2 linked regions of the Xenopus tropicalis genome follow. The protein of the gene in region 1 purifies or fractionates together with the protein of each later gene. This does not show direct contact. Links are inferred from orthologs where the notes say so. Each region holds a gene or a part of one and is shown in the gene's direction. Other genes may lie near its edges.

What was found.
Region 2: the proteins of lrch3 (region 1) and sugt1 purify together in Homo sapiens (co-immunoprecipitation; 3 studies listed by BioGRID and IntAct, counting the BioPlex papers as one, with this or other methods). This does not show direct contact. The link is inferred for Xenopus tropicalis from reciprocal best matches to the Homo sapiens genes LRCH3 and SUGT1.

Annotation. Positions count from the first base shown.
Region 1 is NC_030681.2:100,457,552-100,461,377, forward strand, and holds part of lrch3 (DISP complex protein LRCH3), read left to right. Parts: intron 1-3,682; coding exon 3,683-3,819; intron 3,820-3,826. UniProt on the Homo sapiens protein: As part of the DISP complex, may regulate the association of septins with actin and thereby regulate the actin cytoskeleton.
Region 2 is NC_030678.2:132,190,781-132,195,006, reverse strand, and holds the end of sugt1 (protein SGT1 homolog), read left to right. Parts: intron 1-3,247; coding exon 3,248-3,349; 3' UTR 3,350-3,698; downstream 3,699-4,226. UniProt on the Homo sapiens protein: May play a role in ubiquitination and subsequent proteasomal degradation of target proteins.

The DNA of each region.
Region 1 (3,826 bases):
TTATCTCACTTTATCTTCCCCAAGAGTAATGGACTGCATTAGGTCTACCTCCACTCCTTTTGGGGCAAAAAATGCCCGGCCATCTACTGCATATGTGCACAGGGACATCTGAAAAAAAAGAATGGGTGTGTGTGAAGCTTTTTTTCTTCTGGGTCAGTGATTTTGTTGTCAAGTCTGCTGTTTACTATGGATCTTGGGAAGCTCTTATCCTGCAATTAATCGCAAAGCCCTTAGTGGGGTCTGAAGGAGGGTATATGCCACCCACAAGTGCTAAGCCACCTATACCAGAAAGGAACACATGCTTGCACATAATAAACAATTGCCTCATGCGCATGGCTGCCTATAAGGGTCAATTTACTATGGATAGATCCCAAATGGATAGTGATCCCATAGTGCTAAAGTATGTTCCCTAATAAAAAATAGATTCCTGATATGTGTCTATGAAGATTTTCATTCATCCAGGTCATGGTATATCTAGTATAAATAAATTTAAAGCAACTGGACTTGTTAAGTAATCATTGAAGACGTTTCACTACTCATCCGAGCAGCTTCTTCAGTTCAACTGACTGGTATGGGAAGTCCTCAGCATATATACTCTTCCACTAATTCCTGATATGTGTTTTGCTTCAATACAAGGAGCTTTAACGAAGGCATGATTTTTTTCCATCTAATACTCGGCTAACAGTGTTTCACTGGTTCCCAAGTTCTTGTGGATCAACCCAGTATGGCCCATCTTCTGGGTACTTCTTAATATCTGCCTTTTTCTGACCAAGCCAAAGTAGTGGATCTTTTTATTTGTGTGTATGTATACCGTTGTGTCTTAGAAAGTGTGCCTTGGCTAGAGTTTTAAAAAGTATTTTCTATTATAGTGCAAGTTTATTCTACTTAATGGAATACATTTTTAAAGCAAAATGGACGTATTCTGTTTCAAAGCATGTCAAAGATCAAGTTTCAATATATATATATGAATTTTATCATTTCTATTTGGGTTTTATAGTACTAAAACACTTTTTTGTCTACGTTTTGAAGCAATTTATTTTTCTTCAGATTTTTCTTGCTGTGTATTAAAAAAACCATAGTTTATTTCATCTCATGCAGCATTGTAGAGATGAAATATGGGTTCATATACAGGAGTATCCGAGCCAAAAACATCAAAAATTTGAAATTATGAATATGTAATTCCCACAAATATTGAATATACATATGTGTCATAGTGCCAAGACAGCCTTTTTTATGGTTTGTAATGGTGCATGAGACTTTCTTTGCTTTTGCAATAGCATAGCAACATGCTTTACCCATAGTGTTAACTTTTTTTCTTCGTAAAGCTCTACCTTTCATGGCAAGCCCATATAGCACAAAAAAATCAAGATTTTCTTACCAGAAAATCCTTTTCTCATAGGCCCATACTGTCAGTGCAGGACAACTGGGATTAGGTTGCTCCTCTCTGCAGGATGGACTCTTCCTTCTCATCCTCTTCCTTTGTCTCCACCTATCGACAGTTTTGTTTAGTTTGTCCTGGCAGCAATAATTCTTCTTCTACATATTATTCAGTCTTATTCACTGGATTTAAAATTCTGCTCTCAGGTAGAGCTAAGGATGATTGCAGGAAGTATGTAATCAGGTTTAGTCCACAGTGCACCCCCATATACTAACAATTCTTGAACCCAGAGTGCTTCCTCCTGAAGAGGTATCCCCTGACTTGGTTGAGCCCTTACAATACTCTGAGTTCTGCTATGAAGTGTTCCCCCCTGTTGGTTGAGCCACTGCAACAGTGTGCTCCCCATGATTCATTATGATTGACCCCTTACGAACATTCTATCAAGGACAATTGCTTAATGGTGTGCTTCCCATGGGGTAGAGCCCCAAACCCCTTGCATGCTCCCAACTTTGCTGGAATCGGGTGAGCTCTATACCACACTGTTATGCTAAATTTGGCTGCCATCTTGCTACTCCCACTGAAGCGAACTGTACTCTCAAGCGGAGTAGTCAGTATGCAGCAGCCATCTTGGTACTCAAGATGACGTCACTGCACAAATTTCTGGCACCGGGACACAACGTCTTTGCGTTACGCAGGAGCAAAGACAAGAGTTGCAGTACAAATTCTCTGGTGCTTATTTACAGCATCATTAACCTCCACTCTGGCATCTGCTGATGAGGAAATACTCTCCCTCACTGAAGATATTGACCTGACTGACAAACCTTGTAAGTTAAAAGCCAAGGTCAGAAAAAAGCAAACGCAAGGAGCGCTCAAGGTCTCCTTCCCCTAACTCAGATTCTTTGGCAAGCCCTTGCCAAGTTACAACTCAGGCACAAGTACATGCACCTCGGGAGATTTTTTCTCATACTGTAGGTGATACAGCCCCAGATGTTAAAGAGACCATACAAAACCCTGCAGTACAGCCACAAGATCTACAAGGTTTCTTTGAATTCCTATCCTGGTTCCAAACTACTATACAAACAACTTTACACCAGACAGTATAAGCTCAGGCACAGCAACTGCCATCTATATAAAGAGCACCTAAGCTTCACAAACCTAAATCACTAAGCCACTCCTTCATAGCTTCTGAAGAAAGTAAATCATCTACTTTAGAGGAAAATGCTTCTGCACAATGGCAACTCACTTCAACACATGACTGCCTCGCTTCATGACCAGGATGAAGGACCATCAAGGGGAAAGGTGTAAATAAACTGCCCTTCCCAGGGTGCAACTAGTGCATCTGCACTCTCCGTATCATTTCAATCGCAATGGGCTCTAATGCCCAAGGTTTGGCAGTACTTCCAGACGCTTCACTCACCCCACAAAGAACCCTTTACCCCCGTGGGACCTCAATTTTGTCCTCTCTGCATTCAAAAACCACACTTTAAACCAATGGCTTTGGTGCACATCAAGTTCATCACTTGCAAGGTAGTTCTGTTAGTGGCCTTGTGCTTCGCTACCAGAGTCTCGTACAGGGGTGTTTCTTGCCCCTTAAGGCGGCTCCTCTGATGCCACGCCCCTTGCCCCCTTCCCCCCCCCAGGCTTATATCGCAGTGGACAGAGAGACGCCTTTACACTTGAAAGCCCATTCCACAGAGAACTGAGCAACATCTTGGACATTACACAACCAGACACCCCTGGACATGATCTGCAAAGCAACCCAATGGAGTTCACCTCACACCTTTTCAAAGATTTACAAATTGGATGTCTTGGCATCAGCAGATACAGTTTTTGGTAGAAAGCTGGGTACTACGGCAGTCGTAGGCATCTAATTCTGAGTTAGTGTTATGAGTTAGTAGTTCCCCCCCATTTTTTTGATGGCTTGGGTACATCCCCAGTTGTTCTGCACTGACAGGGCTGTACAGAGAAAGGAAGATTTTTTTTTACCAGAAAATCATTTTCTCGTAGGCCCGTACCATCAGTAGTGCAGCATCCCACCCAATGGCAGGGGTGTCGGGAATTTTCTTTTGCTGCTTAGTTACCGTAGGTTAGTTAAACTAGTTAGGGTTATTTTCTCTATCTCTACTGGCACCTTAATAATAATAGTTTGTTAATGTATATACCTCATTCACCTTTTGATTTTTATTTAATTGTTCCCAAAAGAGGCTGAATGTAATGTATGAATGTTTGAGCTGTGCTCTGTAAGGAAACAAAGGCCAGTGTTTTGTATTACTAAATACTCAAATTTTATTTCATTCTGTTTAGAACTTGCAGAACTGCCACTAGTCCGCTTGGATTTTTCCTGTAATAAAGTTACTTGTATTCCGGTGTGTTATCGAAACTTAAGGCACCTCCAGACCATCATGCTTGATAACAATCCTCTGCAGTCTCCACCAGCACAGGTGAGTG
Region 2 (4,226 bases), on another chromosome or scaffold:
GACTCATGGAAAGATCAATATCTGCAATCTGAACGTTTCACATTACTCCAGTGTAGGAAGGAGAAACTGATTTAAAGAGACATGTGACTAACTAATTATTGATTGAGAAAAGGAAACATGTTTTGCATAGCTTTTCTTCCTGAGTTAAATAATGGCATTCTCTTGGCCGAGAGGCACTTTGCTTGGTAAAGCAGGCACGTGTGGTATCCCTGGTATAACACTTATGCATAGAAATAAGGCTCCCTGTGCAGAATAAATGACTTTGGGGGTTTTCAGTACACATTAATAGGAAAATGATATCCTTTCTCAGATATGGTGTATTGCTCCTTTCAGAGGGAGAACCAACAAATGTACAGTAAATGCATGTATCTGGATTACATGAAGGCTCATGTGGGAAGAGAAGAAGAGATATATATATATTTATGTTTGTCACCGCTGCTCTATTTTAGACATTTTAAAGATTATTATTGGGCTCATGTTCATAACTGTGGATTATCTATTTAAATGCAGTGACACCATGAGGAACCTGGGTATGTAAGAATTTGCACCTACTATTGGGGCATCCCACACAGGCTGCTTCTTTACAACAACTGACCAATTGGCAAAGAGAAAGATGTGGTATAAGATTTTTTTTACCCCTGGAAATTCTTGCTCTTCCCCCAGAATTGCAGAGTCTTTATGTATCTTTATGTATACAATACAAACTGTATATTATACTCAAGGGAAGTAAGAACAATTGAGTGTAATTAGTGAAATTAAAACTCCATTATTTTCAGTGTGTACATTTGGGCTGTAGTTAAAGTAGTGGTTCACCTTTATTTTAACTTTTATTTTGGTATAGAATGGCCAATTCTAAGTGACCTTTCAATTGGTCTTCATTATTTGTTATAGTTTTTGAATTATTTGTCACCATCTTTCAACTCTTTGCAGTTTTTAAATGGGGGTCACTGAAAAAACTATTGCTCTGTGAGGCTCCAGTTTTATGGTTATTGTTACTTGTAACTTTCTTTTCTATTCAGTCCCTCTTTTATTCATCCAAACCACCCCCTGGTTGCTAAGGTAACTTGGACCCTAGCAACCAAAATAGCTGCTGAAACGCCAAACTGGAGAGCTACTGAACTGCGCCTAATGATGCAGGCAGGACCTCGAACCTACCATCAACTCCTGACTGTAATGTAGCTCCAGGGTTCCCTTTGTGCCCAGCGTCAATAGGCACATTTAATTTACACACAAAAAATCGAGCGCAAGTGTCACTCACATGTGGAACACAGGAATGGCAGCAGGCAGACTTCCTTGTGATTGCATCTACTCTGTGACAAAATGCACACATAGTTGCGTTCATTTTGGTGAATCTGGCGCAATTGCACCCTTGGGGACTACATTGGCATTGGAATTCTGGGGCAAAAAACCTGTGCTGTGGGGAGAAAAACCATGGCAATTGCACTTTGAAAACTGCACTCACAGTTGTAAACGAGCCCTGTACTCTTTGGATCAAATTAAGCATAAATCCTTTGCTACCTCCTTAGTTACTAGCAGTCATAGTAATGCCTTCCCATTGTCCTGTACAATCCCCCACCCCCAGGAGCCCACTATCAACCCTGGCAGTGGGTATTCAAGAGCCCAAAGATTAAGCTGCTCCCTGTCATTGCCTACTGGCCATTACCCCCATTACTGTGGGACCCTGTAAGCTGCTCACATGTTATTTATATTGTGCCACTCACAATATTTGCAGCATTTGGGAACTGTTCCCTCACACTCAACCTGCTCATCAAGATCTTATATACCTGTTTAGCCCTGCCTTTATGAGTAGATTGAATAAACCTGTTACATACTAGCAGCTGCTTCTGTTAGATATTAGCTCCTAAGGAATGACACTTCCATGTAATTTTGCCCTGGCCAGTAGAGTTCAGCCGAAGGGGTGTGCCATGGCCCTTATGGCAGCTTGAAATCATTTAAAGGAAAAATAAACCCTAAAAATGAATATGGCACAAGATTCGGGGCTACTGGAGGCATCTAATGAGGCACAGATTGTCACTTGGGCTGTACAAAAGCTTTGTTGTCATATTCTTTTCTCCCATCAGAGAACATAAATGTATTTGCAAATAATACTTCACTCTTGCTATTCATTTTGTCCCGTGTGTAATGGTTGTGTGTGTGTGTGTGTGTGTATATATATATAAATATATATATATATATAATTCCCTCTATGTTCCCAATCTTTTGCTGTTTCTCCTATAATAGAATAGCATTGAACATAATTAGAACCAATTTTGATTTTATAAAGGTTGAGATAAAATACAATTTATGTGTTACATTTATTTATGTTCTCCCTTCTGTGTTTTATCATCTTGATTTCATTCTGTACTGACAAATCCTATGGTACCTATCGGTTTCATAAGAGGAAGGAAGGCAAAATGATGTGTGTGGCTCATAAAAACTGAAGGAAATGAATTTCGTACTTGAAATACAGGTTTTCCCAGGACTGCAATTTTAGCAGCTTCTGAATTGAAAAATGACTGATGCAGAAAAGAAAATTAACATAATCTTTCTGTGCAATGAAATCCTGCTAGCTCTGTTTAATGAAAATCCAATGTGACTAATAACCATTAAAGAGGGCTTCATTTTTCCCATCATGCTCCTCAAGACTGTATATTTATTCAATGGAAAACAACTTTCTATCAGGTAGAGGAGTTGTTTCCAGTTAGATGTAGTTCTGGCACTGGGAGCAGCTAGGGGGGCGCCTTCAAAATGTCGTACATTAAACTCACACTCGCTTAGGGAATTCTTAAACTCTACTCATGTCCTGAGTCCGTATTCAGACACACTAACCCCATAGTAGTCAGTGAGATCAGTAATAAAGCTAATAATCTCTCAAAAGAGAGAGGCTGCATCTTGCCAGATGGTCTCAGATATTTCCATTTATCTGACTAGTTAAACAGTCCCTATAGCTCCATGTTTTATCTTCCTTTTCCTTACAACATGTAAAATCTCTATTTTATGCTTTTCTCTGTTTTGTTGTTTAAACATTGATTTTTTGCAATGTTCAACTGCCGTTATGTCTTAGGGTCCTTCCTTATTACACCCATTGCCCTCCTGCAGTGTTACATGCCTCTGACGAGACCAGAGGAATGGCTTAGCGCTTCAGCAGGAGGGGGGGCATTAAGGCTTTTATGAGTTTATACCTCACACCTCATAGTGTGAAAGGACAAGTTAGATTTGGCATTGACAGTCACCTTTTCTTTTACAGATGGAGTCAGGAGGAACCGTGCTGAGCACCAACTGGACAGATGTGGGCAAGAAGAAAGTAGACGTAAATCCCCCAGATGATATGGAATGGAAACAATACTAGTTATCCTGCTGCAGTCCGTACGTTTATTGAAGCAGTCTGATGCACAACAAGCTGATGAGACATCACTCCTTACCTTTTGCGCCCTTTCTTTTCCCAGAATGCTAATTGTTTGCTGCTTCCATTAAATGTTGCACAAAGTGAATGAAATGACAAGCGAGCCTAATCCTTTATTCCTGTTTTGTTAGGAGCCAGCCCTGTAGTATGTATATAGTGATTTCTGATGCACATTCACTCAGATAACTTATTGGCCGGAGGTGCAGCTCTCCTGTCAGCTTGTTGGAAATCTTTCTCACTGACCCACTCTTGGCCTTTTTATCAACTGCAAATTATAAATATACTTTTTCAATGATTTGTTGGTGCTTTATTGATACAAAGGTGCTGAAGATGCTGCCTGCACTCTGTCGCACACATGTGGGGTTAGAGGCGTATGTGTTAGTAATGTGAATGGCTGTTGTGTTTCATTTGCTTGTCCTGCTGGAGGCACGATGGCTGGCTGACGTGACTGCAATTATTCACCATAGGAGAGGCACAGTCCCTATACATCCTTTGTTTGTCAGAGAATACGCTAATGTTGATGAAAAGACCAACCAAATGCTGCCACCAACAAAGTATTACAATCTATGGCAGTATTCTGGTCATTGTGCAAGATCATGCTCTGGGCAAGCTGACGCCATTTAGATGTTTTTGAATACTCTGTTTAGATTAGGGCCAATAGTTCAGTAACATGTCAAGGACTAATTGGTTCCCATACTTATATAATTAGCTACTATTTAAATGCTCACCATGATATTTCATAAACTAAAATAAGCAGGGGCTAGTTAGACAGTAATAGTAGGGCAAGCACAAGATAAGGCCCAATAGCACATTATTAGTAAAC